Mytilus edulis: one gene and its partner. The protein of the gene in region 1 interacts with the protein of each later gene in a pairwise test. Links are inferred from orthologs where the notes say so. Each region holds a gene or a part of one and is shown on either strand. Other genes may lie near its edges.

What was found. The genes of interacting proteins can lie anywhere in the genome.
Region 2: the proteins of splicing factor U2AF 50 kDa subunit-like (region 1) and splicing factor U2AF 35 kDa subunit-like interact in binary tests that used the Drosophila melanogaster proteins (3 or more experiments, as listed by UniProt). The link is inferred for Mytilus edulis from reciprocal best matches to the Drosophila melanogaster genes U2af50 and U2af38.

What each region holds. Positions count from the first base shown.
Region 1 is NC_092352.1:31,991,355-31,999,651, reverse strand, and holds the start of splicing factor U2AF 50 kDa subunit-like, read right to left. Parts: upstream 3,399-8,297; coding exon 3,386-3,398; intron 2,874-3,385; coding exon 2,868-2,873; intron 1,996-2,867; coding exon 1,866-1,995; intron 1-1,865. UniProt on the Drosophila melanogaster protein: Necessary for the splicing of pre-mRNA. Binds to the polypyrimidine tract of introns early during spliceosome assembly.
Region 2 is NC_092348.1:80,710,872-80,719,177, forward strand, and holds the start of splicing factor U2AF 35 kDa subunit-like, read right to left. Parts: upstream 3,340-8,306; 5' UTR 3,259-3,339; coding exon 3,215-3,258; intron 722-3,214; coding exon 634-721; intron 244-633; coding exon 177-243; intron 1-176. UniProt on the Drosophila melanogaster protein: Necessary for the splicing of pre-mRNA. Binds to the polypyrimidine tract of introns early during spliceosome assembly.

The sequences.
Region 1 (8,297 bases):
TTATTATACGAACAAGAACAAACAGCTCTACGTTGCTTTGATATTTATCAATTTTCAGGAAACATTGCGAAAAATGATCTTCAATATTTCGAAAACATGTGAAATAAAATTGCTAACACGGTGGACCGTCGAGTGTCAACAAACGTAGTAGACTTGTTCACTGAAAAGACGAGGATAATGGTTTCATCTGACATTTGTTATGCAAACCCAGTTTTGATCATGATATTTAAAAAGACGTACTTTTTTTCAATCTATGTATTAATAAACTAGAAAATTCCAAATTGTAAATATCTCTTCATCTGGACCGACTTGGCATCTACTACGTTTGGACGGGTCCATTTCATTTGTAAGGTGATCGATAAATATTACGGAGTTTTGACAGAAAAGGAAAACGAACTTATTGTTATGTGTTTTCAACAAGGGTTTCGTTCCGCTAAATTATTTGCGCAAATAAAGTTTGTCTATTTTTAGATTACAGGTAATAATTTGACACTACGCATTAACCTGTGTAGTGATTTTGATTTTACGATAAATGTATGAATGAACGATAATTTTATGAATGAACAAGAGCACCTGACCTCTTAAAGAAACACAAATTAAACATAAAAAACCGTATTTATTAGGAGATAATTCAGTTAAATTTTCAATACTAAATCAGCAACTGAAATGAATCCATATTTTGTTGAAACATCGTACGAACGGCGGAAAACGGAATCGCATTTATAAAAATGTACTTTTTTTCACTCGGACTTCTATGTTATTTGATAGTCAAACGGTTGACCCTTTAAATACAAAAATACATCTACAAGAACATATTCTGAAACTTCTTAAATCTACTAACTTTTTTTTAAAGTTTCAAGCTATGTATTGCATTAGAAAACATACATAGGTGTTAAAGAATGACTGACCAGGAGCCTGTTTAACAAAATACTATGGCTTGATCTGGGCGGAGTCTCTGATCTGGGTCACAAAGATGGCCATACGCGACGGCATAAAAGCAATTGCTTTAAAAATCCAATATGGTGTCCATAACATGTTTTTACTTTTGCACATGTGAAAAAATATTTCTCACAAAAGTCAGATTTCTCTTGTCAAAAGGGATTTATATTTATATTGCAATAAATTATTCAGAAGGATCTACATTCAGTTAAGATTATATTTCTGATTCTGTGAGCAATTATAGTTTTATCAAATTCTCCCAAACAGCAACGTGTTGACTGTCTAATGAGACTTGTAAATTTGAACTATTTGAATAAAAGGGCATCTAATTTACATGATAAAGGAAGATTATAATTAAAGACAACAATTTATCGAGAAATAATTCCTTTTTATTCAGTAAAAACAAAATCTTCTTGCATGATTGTAAATTCGCAACTTCCGGATCCATTTCCTGTCAGAATAACTTTGAAAATATTCGATTGCACATGGTTTTGAACAAATCTACCTGAATATTCTTATCAGATATTCGATAACACGATGAAATTAACATTGAGCATATAGGTAAGGGTTTGGTAGTACAAACAACTACAGCGTAAAAAAACTGTGCCACTTCACATGTTTTACTTCTTTACGTTCGTTAAATCAGAAGATAAAAACAGAGAACATCGAATATCGATTAACTGCGTCTCTTATACGCTTTCTTTTAATCTTATTTAGTTACTTTCAAACGCAAAGATGACAAATATTAAGTTTCGTACGATGACGGAGCGGACCCAAAATAAATCCGAAGAAAAAAAAAAATTCTTCCATAAAACGTCAAAAAAAGAATTTGAGTCGGCTGGTTTATTTTGGGTCGGTCGCGTTTGGGCAAACATACAATCTTTTTATTTTGGCCTTGGTGATTATTTCTTAATGAATCAGAATACCTTTTTGATTTCCTTTTTCTTTCTCTAGACCTTGATCTTTTTCTGTCCTTACTTCTTGAACGTGGTTTTCTTGGTGATCGTGATCTAGATCTTCGTCTGTTATTAGAAACTTTTTCCTCTTTAAATTCCCCTGCTAATATATTTGACTTTTTTTATAAATAAGTTCATGAAGTACAGTATTTTAGATATTGTGATTTGTCTGTATATTGTCAAATGTGTATTATATTTATATTTTTAATATGCCTAATAATATAGGACCAACATGAAACAATAAACTGATACAACATTTATTTTTGAACACAAAAGAAGTTGCAATGGTTTGTTGTATTTTTACACATGATTAAAAAGCCTGAAAAGTTTTAAAGTTTAGGACTTTTAACTTTTAGAATTTAGTCAAGTGGTCCTCCATCACAAGTAATTTTCTTACTCTGTATCTTTAAACAACTGTTTGTTCCTTCTCTTCAAACATATGTTGACTTCAAGATATATTTTTGTATTTTGTATTATGAAGGTTGCTGTCTTACTGATATAAAATATGCATTGAAAATTACAGAAGAATAGAGCACCTGTTAATATCTTTAATTTTACTATGTGATGTTTTGTGAACTTATATTGTGTTTTGACTTTACAGTGTTTTTCTTTTTTTATCATGGTATTCACTATTGTAGGTTTTTGAGGGATTTTTTTTCAACTGTTGTCTTCATATCCTCTTCCTCTTTTAAGGAAAACCAGGACGACATGAAATAATACACAAATTTGCAATTTTTTTGCCTAACTAGCCCATGTTTGATTTTTATACATCATTGACCATGATAATGGTAGAATGTAAAACTCAAAAGCAGTATCCACATTTCTAACAGCTTAATAAAATTCTGATATGTAGATGGACTGTTTCTTGGATAAGTTGTTGTTTGCAAAATTATTATTGCATGTCCATTAACAAAATAGCTAATAATCAATCAAGGATCCCTATCTCTCTGTACAAGAAAACCAGTTACATACCAATTCCTAAAAGTAAAAAAAAGTTAATAAGTTGTAAAATGAAAGTATGAACATGATGAAGGGACTAACACATTTTTTGCATATAACATAATTCAAATACATTCCTTTTGAAATGTACCTGAATGAATCTAATCTATGCCCCCCATGATGGAATCAGTCTAGCTTTGATTTAAAGTTTTACTTCTATATACATGTATGTGTATGCATTTTTTCAATAATTTTCTTAACATTTTAATTACAAGGCAATGGCAGATACAGAAGGGAGGGGGTACTGACTACCATATGAGGGGGCCTGCTCCAATGATACCCTGAATATTCAACCAATATTTCCCACAAAAGAAGGGCCCAGGCCCCCTGTTCCACCTAAATCTGCCTCTACAAGAATTTCATTTCAAACTGCTTGAAAAGTTGACCATGATAAATCAATAATATAAATTTATTTTTGTTGAAAATTTCACAAAGGAAATATAACTAGAGGCTCTCAAGAGCCTGTGTCGCTCACCTGTTAATGTGTTTACTGATGTCGGCCATCTTCGTTGGTAGGCGGGGTCATTAGACACTTTTTTTTTTAAATAGATACCCTAGTACAATGTATTATGATTGTAGCGAAGTTTGATTAAATTTGGACAAGTCGTTTTCGAAAAGATTTTTATACAAGTTACAAAAATGACGAAAAGTTGTTCAATATTGACTATAAAGGGCAATAACTCCTTAAGGGGTCCTCTAACAATTTTGATCATGCTGACTTATTTGTAGATCTTACTTTGCTGAACATTATTGCTGTTTACAGTTTATCTCTATCTATAATAGTATTCAAGATAATAACCAAAAACTGCAAAATATCCTTAAAATCACAAATTTTAGGGCAGCAACCCAACAACCGGTTGTCCGATTCAACTCAAAATTTGTGAGGGGATATATCTTATTCTGATGGACATTTAAATGTTGAAAGATTTGCCCTAAATGTCTTAGTTTCAAAGATATAAAGCAAAAACTGCATTTTACCACTATGTTCTAATTTTAGCCATGTCGGCCATTTTGTTTAGTAGGCTGGGTCATCGGACACATTTTTTAAACTATAAACCACAATGATAATTGTGGCCAAGTTTGGTTAAATTTGGCAAAGTAGTTTTGGAGAAGAAGATTTTTAGAAAAGTTTCAAAAAATGACGAAAAGTTGTTAAAAATTTACTATAAAGGGCAATAACTCCTTAAGGGGTCAACTGACAATTTTGGTCATGTTGACTTATTTGTAGGTCTTACCTTGCTGAACATTATTGCTGTTTACAGTTTATCTCTATCTACATGTATAATAATATTCAAGATAATAACCAAAAACAGCAATATTTTCCTAAAATTACCAATTCAGGGGCAGCAACCCGACAATGGGTTGTCCGATTCATCTGAAAATTTCAGGGCAGATAGATCTTGACCTGATAAACAATTTTACCCCTTGTCAGATTTGCTCTAAATGCTTTGGTTTTTGAGTTATAAGCCAAAAACTGCATTTTACCCCTATGTTCTATTTTTAGCCATGGCAGCCATCTTGGTTGGTTGGCCGGGTCACGCCACACATTTTTTAAACTAGATATCCCAATGATGATTGTGGCCAAGTTTGGTTTAGTTTGGCATGGTAGTTTCAGAGGAGAAGATTTTTGTAAAAGATTACTAAGATTTACGAAAAATGGTTAAAAATTGACTATAAAGGCCAATAACTCCTAAAGGGGTCAACTGACCATTTTAAATATATTGACTTATTTGTAGATCTTACTTTGCTGAACATTATTGCTGTTTACAGTTTATCTCTATCTATAATAATATTCAAGATAATAACCAAAAACAACAAAATTGCCCTAAAATTTCCAATTCAGGGGCAGCAACCCAACAACCGGTTGTCAGATTCATCTGAAAATTTCAGGGCAGATAGATCTTGACCTGATAAACAATTTTACCCCATATCAGATTTGCTCTAAATGCTTTGGTTTTTGAGTTATAAGCCAAAAACTGCATTTTACCCCTATGTTCTATTTTTAGCCATGGCGGCCATCTTGGTTGGTTTGACGGGTCACGCCACACATTTTTTAAACTAGATACCCCAAGGATGATTGTGGCCAAGTTTGGTAGAATTTGGCCCAGTAGTTTCAGAGGAGAAGATTTTTGTAAAAGTTTACGGACGACGGACGACAGACGACGGACGACGGACGCAGGACGACGGACGACGGACGCCAAGTGATGAGAAAAGCTCACTTGACCTTTCAGGTCAGGTGAGCTAAAAACAAAAAGGAAATATAAAAACAAAAAGTTTTCAGAGTGATCTTTAAACATGATTAACAAATGGGTATGATGAACATATATGAAGTTTGAGATTGAAATGTGAGGAAATAGAGGGGAGGTACAATGTATGGGTGCACAAAAACATGTTTAACTCCACCATATTCTGTATGTTCCTGACCCAGACCAGTATTTCCAGCAACCTGCAAATGTATTATTCAGTGGTTGCTGTTTGTTGCTGTATATTATTTTTGAATTTTATTTGCTCTTTTTGAACAAAATCCATTTGTTAATTTTCTACAGTGAATTTTTACCGTTTGGCATGCCACATTACAAGAGAAGATAATTTACATGAGAGATAAAAAGTTAAAAGACAATGATTGAAGACAGCATTTCAAAGCATGCTTGAGGTTTTGTTCTTTGTTCAAGGTCACCAGACAGATTTCACGAAAATGGTAGGTCCTGCCGGTCCTGTCGGTCAAAATGAGGCTTGAACCAATATTTTGAAAGCTAGTTCCGGTCCTGATGACCGATGTAAAAATGGCCGTCGCAGTGCCTTTTTAATCGGTAATTAGTTACACTGCAATACATATTTACCTCGGTCATCAGATGTACCTGCTGGTAATTTCCGGTACTGGTTTCCTATTATAAACAAACGGAAACCTACGGAAACGAAAGCGCCAATCTACATGTGGCCTGCTAAATTTGTTCATTAAGCCATCCCAGGCAAACAATCGATGATTGAACCCTTTGGTGGAGATAACAAATACTGAGAAATTGATTCAGATGATGAAATGGATAGTGAAGATGACTTTAAATAAGAACAATCAGAAGATAAGAATCAGTTATTCATTGTTTATTTGCCGGTGGCTGTGAAAAATCAAACTAACAATAATAAAGTTATTTTAGATAAAATATTTTATTTTTATTTTAGGATAAAATTGACAGATTTTTTAGGACTGGCTAAAATTTTGTAGGACTGACTTTTATTGATCTTGCTTTATCGGTCCCATGGCCAACGGGTCAAAACAAGTTTTCGCGAACTCTGACCAGATGAGATTTAGTAACTAAACTCTATTTCATTTGGTATCTGATGGATTATTATCTCAAATGGCAATAATACATTATCTCCTTATATTATATAGTGAAGGAATGCCAGAATACCAGGAGAGAAACAATTAATTAAGCTCGAAAACTGTAAAACATAACTCACAAAGGCAGCAGAATGCAATGCACAAGATCATGATTTGACAATTTTTAGAAAAGTCTTAACCCTTTCAACGCTATACACGGCATATGTCGCGATGACATACGCCGTCCGCCACTGCTATTCGCGGCATATGCCGCGATGACAACGGATTTTTCATAAGGACTCTTAAACCATTCGGTTTTCATTCGGGTCCTCTCTAATTTTTCCTTGTATGAATCTAGGATATGCAAGGTCTCATTTGCGCTTGAAATCCCGGCATTTTTTATTGTAAAATCATGCAGTAGAAGGAAAATTGAAGGAAAATAAAAACAAATATTTTGACAAATGCAAATGGCGGAAATCGGAAAGGAAGCTGTAAATATGGAAATATTTCAGCATTTCTATGGCAAAACTGATGACTAGGATTAGTTAAAAGGTTTCTTGTTATCTCAATGTGTTTATTACATTCAATTCGTGTGGAAAATATGATTTGATCGATCATTACGAGTCGTAGAAAAAGGGGGGAAAACAGAGATTGACTGAAAATTTTGAGGACGGAGCCACTGATTTGTGCCATGATAACATAATACGTTATGTATGGTGCAATACGCTACGGAATCGAGCAATTGGTGTCTTCTTTATTATATGGCAGATAAAAAAACAAAATAGATGAAGACTAAAAGTAGTTTTTATTCAAAATTCAACACAAATGTAATAAATTACACCTTTTACCTGTTAATTACCTGAAAATGCAGGTAACCTGATACAAATTTTACTGAAATAACTGCCTAACATTACAGTTCATACTCTCCTGAGCATTTTTCATGCAATAACTTTTTCTGTATCTCTTATAATAAAAAAGATACAGCAGTCTGAAAAGAAATATACTGTTCTAATGAATAAACACAAAAAAAATGCAGCAGCAGCAGCCATTTTTCTCTTTTTTTGTGTAGCGTTGAAAGGGTTAAAAGAATTCCAAATGACAGTTTAAAATTTATAGCTTTTGCAACGTTTCGGCAAAAAACCTGTTCAGCTTAATGTGGTTTAGGTCATTAACTAGTTCATTTTGGCCCATTATACTTTTTTTTGGTTCTATCAATGTTTTGAATAATACATTCATTTTATAAAATAAGAGGTAGGTAAATATATCTTTATATGTAATGTAGACTTTCTAAATAAAGATAAACTTGTATGATCAAGCCTCAAGGATGTGTAACTACTTCTATACATCATTGGTGTCATGCAGAGCAGAGTCCGATTTAAAAAGGACCAGAAAAAAATTTGGTTGATTATATAGGTTATTACTGACGAATGACTGGAGCACCCCCTTCTTAGGCAGTTCCCCAACTTACAAAAATTTCTGGATTGACCACTGTAGACTAATTATATAAGTAGCAAGAAAAACAGTCCATTTCTGTGGCCTTTAAAGTTTTATAGCCGACTATGCAGTATGGATGCTCATTGTTGTTTTCATTTTTGTAAAACATTACGACGAAAAATCATGAGAGTAATAAAGTGATTTTTTTTCAGTTATCAAGGACGAGGGTGAATAATAAATAAATGAAAGAATGTGAACATGATGAACAACAAAAATCTCTTTTAATAATGTATGACTGAAATTAAGTTTACTTCATGGCCGAATCATCTCTCTTCCTTTAAATCAAATCAGCACTGTCCTCTACTCAAGCTCTGAACAGCAGTATCATCGAAATAGCAACATATTATTTATAAATAAAGATAACACTTCTGCTCCATTTGGACTAAATTGTTACCCTGACGAATAAGAATCAAAGAACGCGTTACGTTATCGAAAAAAATCTATACACGCACCAAAGCCAAAGTGTTCTTTTTTGTCATGTCCTAAACCCTCGCTTGTCACAAATTTTTACTTGCAAAATGGATGTATGTAACTTTGTCAGTTGCTCTAGTTTTTATTTTAAGGGTTAGTTAAACAAATAAACACCTCTGTTT
Region 2 (8,306 bases), on another chromosome or scaffold:
ACAGCTATTAAACTTTTGATATTAAAAAGTATCTACAGAAAAACACAAGTAAAATTACTAAAATGTAGACAATACTGAACAAAATCAAGGTCATGACAAATTTAAGACAGAAAATAATTTTAAAACTTTTTTTCTCTCACTACAACACCAGACAATATTGGACACATAATACATACTATGTGAGCCATCAGCTGTAAGGGCAGCATTCTGTGGGTTCAGGTAGGCATTGATCATAACAACAGTCTGAAACATACAATACACATCGTATCATAATCAATTCTTCAGTTACATGTACATTCAATGCATTGGTTCACTCAAACAAACTTTAAGACAATGCTAAAGAATTAATTCAAAATGAGATTTGTTTGCAGTACTTCAAGAAATGGATTTAGCGTTGTACAAATGATTCCATGTATGAAACATGAATGTAACAGAAACAGGTTCGAAAACTTACATGTAAGACGTTAAAAACTTTTAAAATATAATGAAATTACTTTTTTCATGTTTGTTATTTTATTAACAATTAAAGTTATGAATGTCTTTTTCTGTGTTTCTTAAACACTAAAAAAATTTACTCATTGATGAGACTAATGATCTACTTAAATAACAAAAAAAAATGTTAAGTTATGTCACCTGACTGAAAGTTGGTTTGTTGTGAAGACGTGAACATCTTTCTCCATGTCGACAGGCACCAATTTTAAAGTAAAAGGAACAGTTAACTCTGAAATGAAACAATTACAAAATGCAGTGATTTTGCTAGCGCTCGTCACTTTCGTATTTTACGAAAGGGTTTTCTCATTGACGAAAGTATTTCAAATCAATTTCGTCACTTTAATTTTGAAAGTGTAAAAAAAAATTCGCAATAAAAACTATAAATCTACCTGTCTTCATGTTTTTGACAAGTTTATGACCTCCAGGTAATTAACATTTTTAACAGGTGTTACAAGTTGTGATTACAACTAATCCGCTTATCGCCATCTGATGGGTCACTAATCCGTTAATTATTATTAAACCCCATAATTGAATGACCATCATAATTATTTCCCCAGGAAAATCAGTCAGTCGTCAAGTCATTTCAACAACCAGGAGTTTAGTTTCGTCAATTAATCAAAAATGTAACAACCCGGTCAGTTCACATTTGAATTTCAATATTTTTCCAATGATCTGAAGTTCATTTGTCGTAGATTCGTCATTTGAAGGCATTTTCGTTATATTTGATTTAAATTTTCATCAAAAAACTTTCGACAATTTCCATTTAAAATAAAGAACTTTAATGTGTTTATTCAAAACTGTCACGAGTTAAACAGGTGCTTCCTGTATTGTGTTCTACGCATGCGTGAAAGTATTCCTTTGACTATTTATAGACTTTAAAAAAAACGTAAAATACGAAATCATTTAATTTAGAATCAATTAAACGAGAGAGACAAATATCTCTTACTAAAGGAATTTAAACAAAAAAATGATAATTTCCTGATGAATCCGGACTCGTTTTGAATTTATTATCCACGTGTCACTTCCCGTTTTCGTTTCATTTTAAAACCGAAAGTAGTAAACGTGATCTATTGTTGATTTGTTTACAACCTACTTTCAGTCATTATTATAGTTCCAAAAAGGATTTTACACATTTCCAACTTGAAAGAAATGATTTCCAAATATCGATTTAGACCTTTTATATGGATAATGATTATGCAGTGAAATAATCATTGCAAGTTAATTTCTGCTGTGATTCCTTGTTTAAAAAAAATAGAATCCAACTTTTGTTGATCAGGAATGACCCCTGGAACAAACTGAAGAGAAATTGTGAACTAAATTTCTGGATTCCATTTCAGAATCTTTCATAATAATGGCCAATACAGTCAAATCATACAATAACTGCCAATCATGCTGGTGCCTCAATCCCTTAAAATCTGACAAATTAAGTCAAAAGATGAAGCTAATAATATACATCATTGGTCCCTTGCTTTTACACAAAATAAGGTTGATTTTAATAGCGCGCAAAAGTGACTAAAGCCCTCAAAATCCTAGCTTAAACCCTGCAAAATGTCAATGTGTTTCTTTGAAACTAAATTTTGTCAATTAATTCCTATGACACCTATTTCTTAAAGCATACATTTGTAAATGTGCAATCTAGTATTATAAATAATATTCAAAATTGACAACAACACTTCAAATGGTCTGCAATTTTATTATCTAGGCAGGCGTCTTCAGGACAGTTTATATACAATTTATTCTGCCTGAGGTACTCAAAGTGGTGCATATATGTATGATTAATTTTAATAAATTTTCATATATCAAGGCTTATGAACAATTGCCTAAACTTACGAAATAAATTTAAGTTACAAAAAGAAAATATTTCAAGATCTTTCTCTCGTATATTCAATCAATTGTCAACAAATTATTTGTGACTTTTTGTCCTGTGACTTTCTGTCCGTTTACCTTTTATTTAATAGTTGTTAGCATGGCTTTTTGCCATTTTGGTTTTTATCATGCGTCTGTAAAGGTCGCAATTATGCCAAAGCACCAGAGATACACATAGTTTTTGGTGAGGTTTGTGTTGCTTTAATAGTCTTTTTCTATGATGTGTTTTGAGTACTATTGTTTGTTTGGTTTTTTTTTCATTTCTATCTATGGCGGTGTCAGTTTATTTTCGATTTATGAGTTTGCATGTCCCTCTGGAATCTTTCACCCTTCGTTTATCAGATTTAAATTAATGCTTTTTATCCACCTTTACTCGTCTGTTAAATTTTGACGTCACAATTGAAAATATCTGACACCACAATGGAATATGGATAGTTGTATGAAGTCAATAGTTCAAAAGGCGCAGATTTCCACATAGCGATAAGGTATTTACCTCAGACATGTAAGACTTATAGTGAATCGGTGTGAGATTTTCTGATTATTTTTAACTTTTTTTTTTTTACAATAGTCATGATCTAGAATTATGAAAACGTACATAATAGTCATAAGATATCATATTTAACCCAATTTAATACTAGATTTAATCATTTTAGGAGTCTAGAGAACAATAAAGCCAAAGCCTCAAGTGCGTCATTAGGCTAGCCCATGGCACGAGCCGGTGCTTGGCATTTTCTCTGTTTATCAGCTATAATGAGGCTCATTTTAGGGTATTAAAATGAGCATCCTTAATTCGTCATATCTTATAGAAATGATCATTTCGTTGTTTAATTTGTTAGTGCGTTATTGTTGATCATACTTGTCTTTTTCTGTTCCAAAAATCGATGCCAGATACTCTGCCATGTTGAATATCTGGTTCTGACGTTAGATCGATGAAGAACATGTACACGTTTGCTCCTATTTATAAATTTTAAAACAGGGAACCATGATAATTTTTTAAAGTCTGCCTAATTACCAAAAACTATAGCTATGATGATAACGCATAACCATGTTCTCAATCTTCAGTACAGTAAAACCTTTCAGGCACATATAAATTTTCCTTAAGTAGAATTTCACTGCTGGTAAAGTTGTATTTTGTAATTTGTATTCTATCTTCTATTGGAAAAAACCCAACAGAGTTGTGATATTACACTAATAAACTAATTGTAAAAACAAATTTTTTAAGTTGAATCACACATGTGTTATAATGCATGATAAAATCAAACCCCCAAAATAGATCATGAATTTATACATTTTTAGCATTATTTATATATATAATATATTGTATCAAATATTATTGGAACTAATTGGCTTTAAATAGGTGCCGAATTGACTAGATGCCGATTTAACCAGGTGCCAATTTGACTTGTACCAGCCTGTTATAAGTTAAGTCTTAGAATATCATGAGGCTCAGCAGTGCTTCTAATTTAAATATAGTGAGGACACTTGAGAAAGAATTGTCACTATCTATTTCAACATGTCCTGCATGCACAATTTTCTAAGTCTTTAATAGATATAGGAAGATGTGGTGTTCTTTAAGTAGATTTTTTTTGGATATCAGTTATCTGCAAGATTCTATTGTTAGTGAGTGTGCCCTTATTCTTAATTTGCTACTTTCTTTCTTAAGGAATAAGTTGTGTATTTTCTCCTGAGAGCCTTAACCTTTATCCAACTGGCAAGTTTAATCATAACTGAATTATGTAATAATTTTGTCAAAAGTCAATCCACCTGTAAAATTCTTTTAAAAATAATAACCTATATTTAAGGGCAAATCATCTGAGTAAGTCTATAAATACACATTGCTTTAATTTTTGAAGTGTTTCTCTTCCTTTATACATGGCTTTCTAATGTTCAAGTTTGAGTGTATCTGATGAAGTTAATCCGGAAAAGTGCTTTAGATGCAGGCAATTTGTAAAGTGTTATATTTTCACCCCTTAATTTTGGTATAATAAATTTTCTATGTTCCCACCATCATAGTTTGTTAATGACCTTAATGGGAATGACGATGATGGCTTAATGTCCAGCTGCAAATTTAATGCATATTAAGGACGAGAACATGTTAATGAACTATAAATACCAACCCTGCTTTGTACTAGACCAACATGCTGAGCTGGATTAATAAGGTGCTAGTTCACCACGGTAACAACCTGCATGATGACATGTTGTCCTATCTGGATACATTTTCGGACTCCTATATGAACAGTCTTTGCTCGTACCCCTTAATTTGGTACGCCAAAAAGAAAAGCAGCAAATACCAATTTTGAGGTCTTTGGTTTTGACCCAGCCATGGTTCAAATCCTCAACATCACAATTCAAAGGCAAGCACAAGATTACAATTGAAATAACATATCCTACTGTATTGTATTGTATTGTATTGTTGCTTAAAATATGTTTGTATTGTTAAATGTATTGTACTGTATTATATTGTATAAGATTTTAAGATGTAGAGTATTGTATAATATTGTAACATGTATTGTTTTTTAAATTGTATTTTGACTGTTTTTTTATTGTATCTTCCTCCCATTTTATAATTATAGAATTTCTCAGGTATTCACCAGCGTTTCAAAATTCTATGAGAACTACAATACCGGTGTAATACCACCATTGTTTCTCCTTTGAGTCTTTGTTAAAATTGCAGTTTTAAAAAAATTGTGCAGAATTTATCTTTGCTTCACATAAAGAAATATTTGCTATGACAAAATGTGTGAGTAAAGTTTTATCCTGTCCATTACTAAAAAAATCACATAATATTTCATTGCATATACAATGATGACAACCATCGCTGGAAGTTAACCAATCAAATTTCCATCCTTTTCTTTCCTGTTTACAAGCTTTAGTTATTATGTAATCTCAAGTTTTCAATATATTTTATAGAAACACCTAAAAAACAAGAATGTGTCCATAGTACACAGATGCCTCGCTTGCACTATCATTTTCTTTGTTCAGTGAAATTTGGCATTAAAATTAGATGGAGCATATCATAGGGAACATTTGTACCAATTTTCAAAATGACTACATAAAGACCTCCTTTTTTTCAGCACAGCCAGATAAAAAGTCATAATTAGGCCATATTAGTTTTGTTTTTAGGTGTAATCTTTACAGCTGTCAAATAAAAACAATAAACATATAATTTTTTCATATGGATAGTCAGGCCATATCCCTTTGTTTCCAATAAATTTGTGTTTCACTATTGTTTGCTTTCTGTTAATGTACCATAATCTTGAATCTCATCCTTTTTATTCTACATGTTTATTTATATATATTTATATATATATATATATATTTATATTTTGAAACTTTACTAAAAATTTAAGAACAACAAATGTAACAAAGCTACAACGAATCTTTAATAAGTGCAACATCAGCATGTTTAAACACATCTGTATAATTCTGGTTTCAACTTCACTTCTAATATACAAATATTTCATACACACAAATAAAAACAAAATCTTTCTCAAATCATATAACAAGTCAATGCAAAATAATCATAAATCAAAATCTAACTAAAATTACATCTTTAATTTGTACCCCATGCATGACATATTAGAAAAGGGGTTACCAGTAATTTTCATTAAATTGATCATATATTACATTATAAAAACTTAAATACGGTTTTCAAAATGGTTACAATTTGGTAATAAAACATTACTAAAACTGTTTTATATATCAGTATATCCAATAGAAATGAATGATCATTAGAATTCAAACAACATGAATTTCATCTACTATCGTTTTAATTTTTTTAAACATAACATTAATCTTAAATAGTTTGTATATTTTATTTTTCTATTTTGTAAATAATTCTTTGAATTAATCATATTTTGACGATCCTTAAACCTCAGCAAGTGATAAACGACACATAAAGTTGGACAAAAGCAATATTATTATAGTTGTAGTACCCCTAGCTTTCTGTTCAAAAATAAAACACTCTTTCAGAATACGATTGTTGCACGTAAGATAGAGGTATATCTTTTTTTTAAGCATTCCTTCTGGACATGTTGCAAAAATACTTGACTTGAAATTTAAAGATTTTTACTATCCAAAAATTAAGTGGATTTCAAATTTTCAGGATTTTTTTTTTGTAAAATCAAGGGTAGATAATTATATAGACATTGATAAAACAATATGTGTTTAATTTTTATGTTTACAAGAAAATAAGGCATGCGACCCCTCATTGTTATTTGATATTTCGGAAATATTAATAAAATGCAGTTCTTTCATTGAAGTGTAACCAATTTTATTGTTTAATGTTCCTCCATTTATAAAAATATGTTTCCCCTTTATAACACATATCAAATAACTGATTTTGTTAATTTCAATGTATTTTAAAGAAAAACAAGGTCTGTGACCCCCCAGTTTTCAAAATGAAATTTCAACGTACATTGACCAAGACACCCCAGCTACCTTAACTGCAAACACACAGCTATTATCACATATTATTAAACATAGCATTGAACGTCATAAAGATTCACACAACAAGCTTTATATAAGACTGACATGAGTAAAACAAACATGGCTCATCTGATAACATACCTTTAAAAAAGTGTATGTTTCACAAAGTAAAACATTTGAGAATAGTTTTAATTGAATTTATGAATTACTGTCTCTCTGATTACCATATTTGCTTAAGGGACGACATCAAAAAATCAATGAAGGATAAAAAAAATAAAACTCGGGGGTGGGGGTCAAAATTGCTGCATGTTTTGTTTAATTGACATCGACTTTATATATATCCTTATTGGTCAATCAATTTTTCCCAATTTAAGTTAAGAGGGGGGTAGGGGGGTAATGAAAAAACTATATGAATTAAGTTTTCATCCTACATTGAACTTTTGATGTCGTCCCTAAATGAATCTATCCAATTGAAAAATATAACAATGCAGATAACTAAAACTTTTTTATATTTACAAATCAAAGACAATCATCAAACATGAACAGATTGTGTGAAGAAATATCATATTTTGTTAACATAATATTTCGGAGAACTTCAACATAAACTTCATAAATAAAAAGATATGAGCAGAAAATTTGTGTCGCTGAACTTATTTTATTGCAATATGATAGAAGCAATAGATTTATAGTACAAAATGTACAATCATTGATAAACCTAAATGTTATAAACTTTATCCCCTCATAATTTTCATTTTAAATGTTTGAATACATAAATCAATGTTTTTTTTAAGATTATATGTACCAAAGATTAAAATGATTTTCTTCTGCAGTTCAAAGAAAATTCATGCAAACAAGCAGCATTTCTGTATAATTACAATCCTAAATGGCCACACTTTTTAAAATCTGATACTTCTTTTAAATGTTTAACAACAAAATGAGAGGACAATCCCCTTCTCACACGTCTTAGAAACAAGACTAAGCATCATTAATCTTATTTTTTTCAAATGTTTTACTAGAAAAAGCTATTGGTCCTCTTAACCTTGTGTTTTCTATCAAACTATAATAACAAAAGTACAATGAAATCTATTTATAAATTTTGGCCAATCACAGCTGTATATTTCATAAAATCACAAACAACTAAGATTTAGGCCTATCAGCACTATATTTCACACAGATCAAATGATTTTAACCCATCTGAGCTGTATGTCATATAAAGACCACATAAAACTAATACAGTACTCATAAATAATCACTACTATTTGTCAATTTAAGTGCATGTAAAGTTCCTTATAATTCATTTCTAACAGGTTTCTGTTTATAAACAAATGTAACTAGCATGCATTGTAAAAGGTTGTTTTATTCACAGAGTATAACTTTTGAGATTTCAAAAGCCAAATCTATTTGCAATGTTTTATTTGCCTTTTTTTAAATTTGATCTTTTAAGATAACATTGTATGTGGGGAGATTTTTTTAGTTTTCTCTTCATTAATCCCCAAACTAGCAAAAAATTACCCCCATGC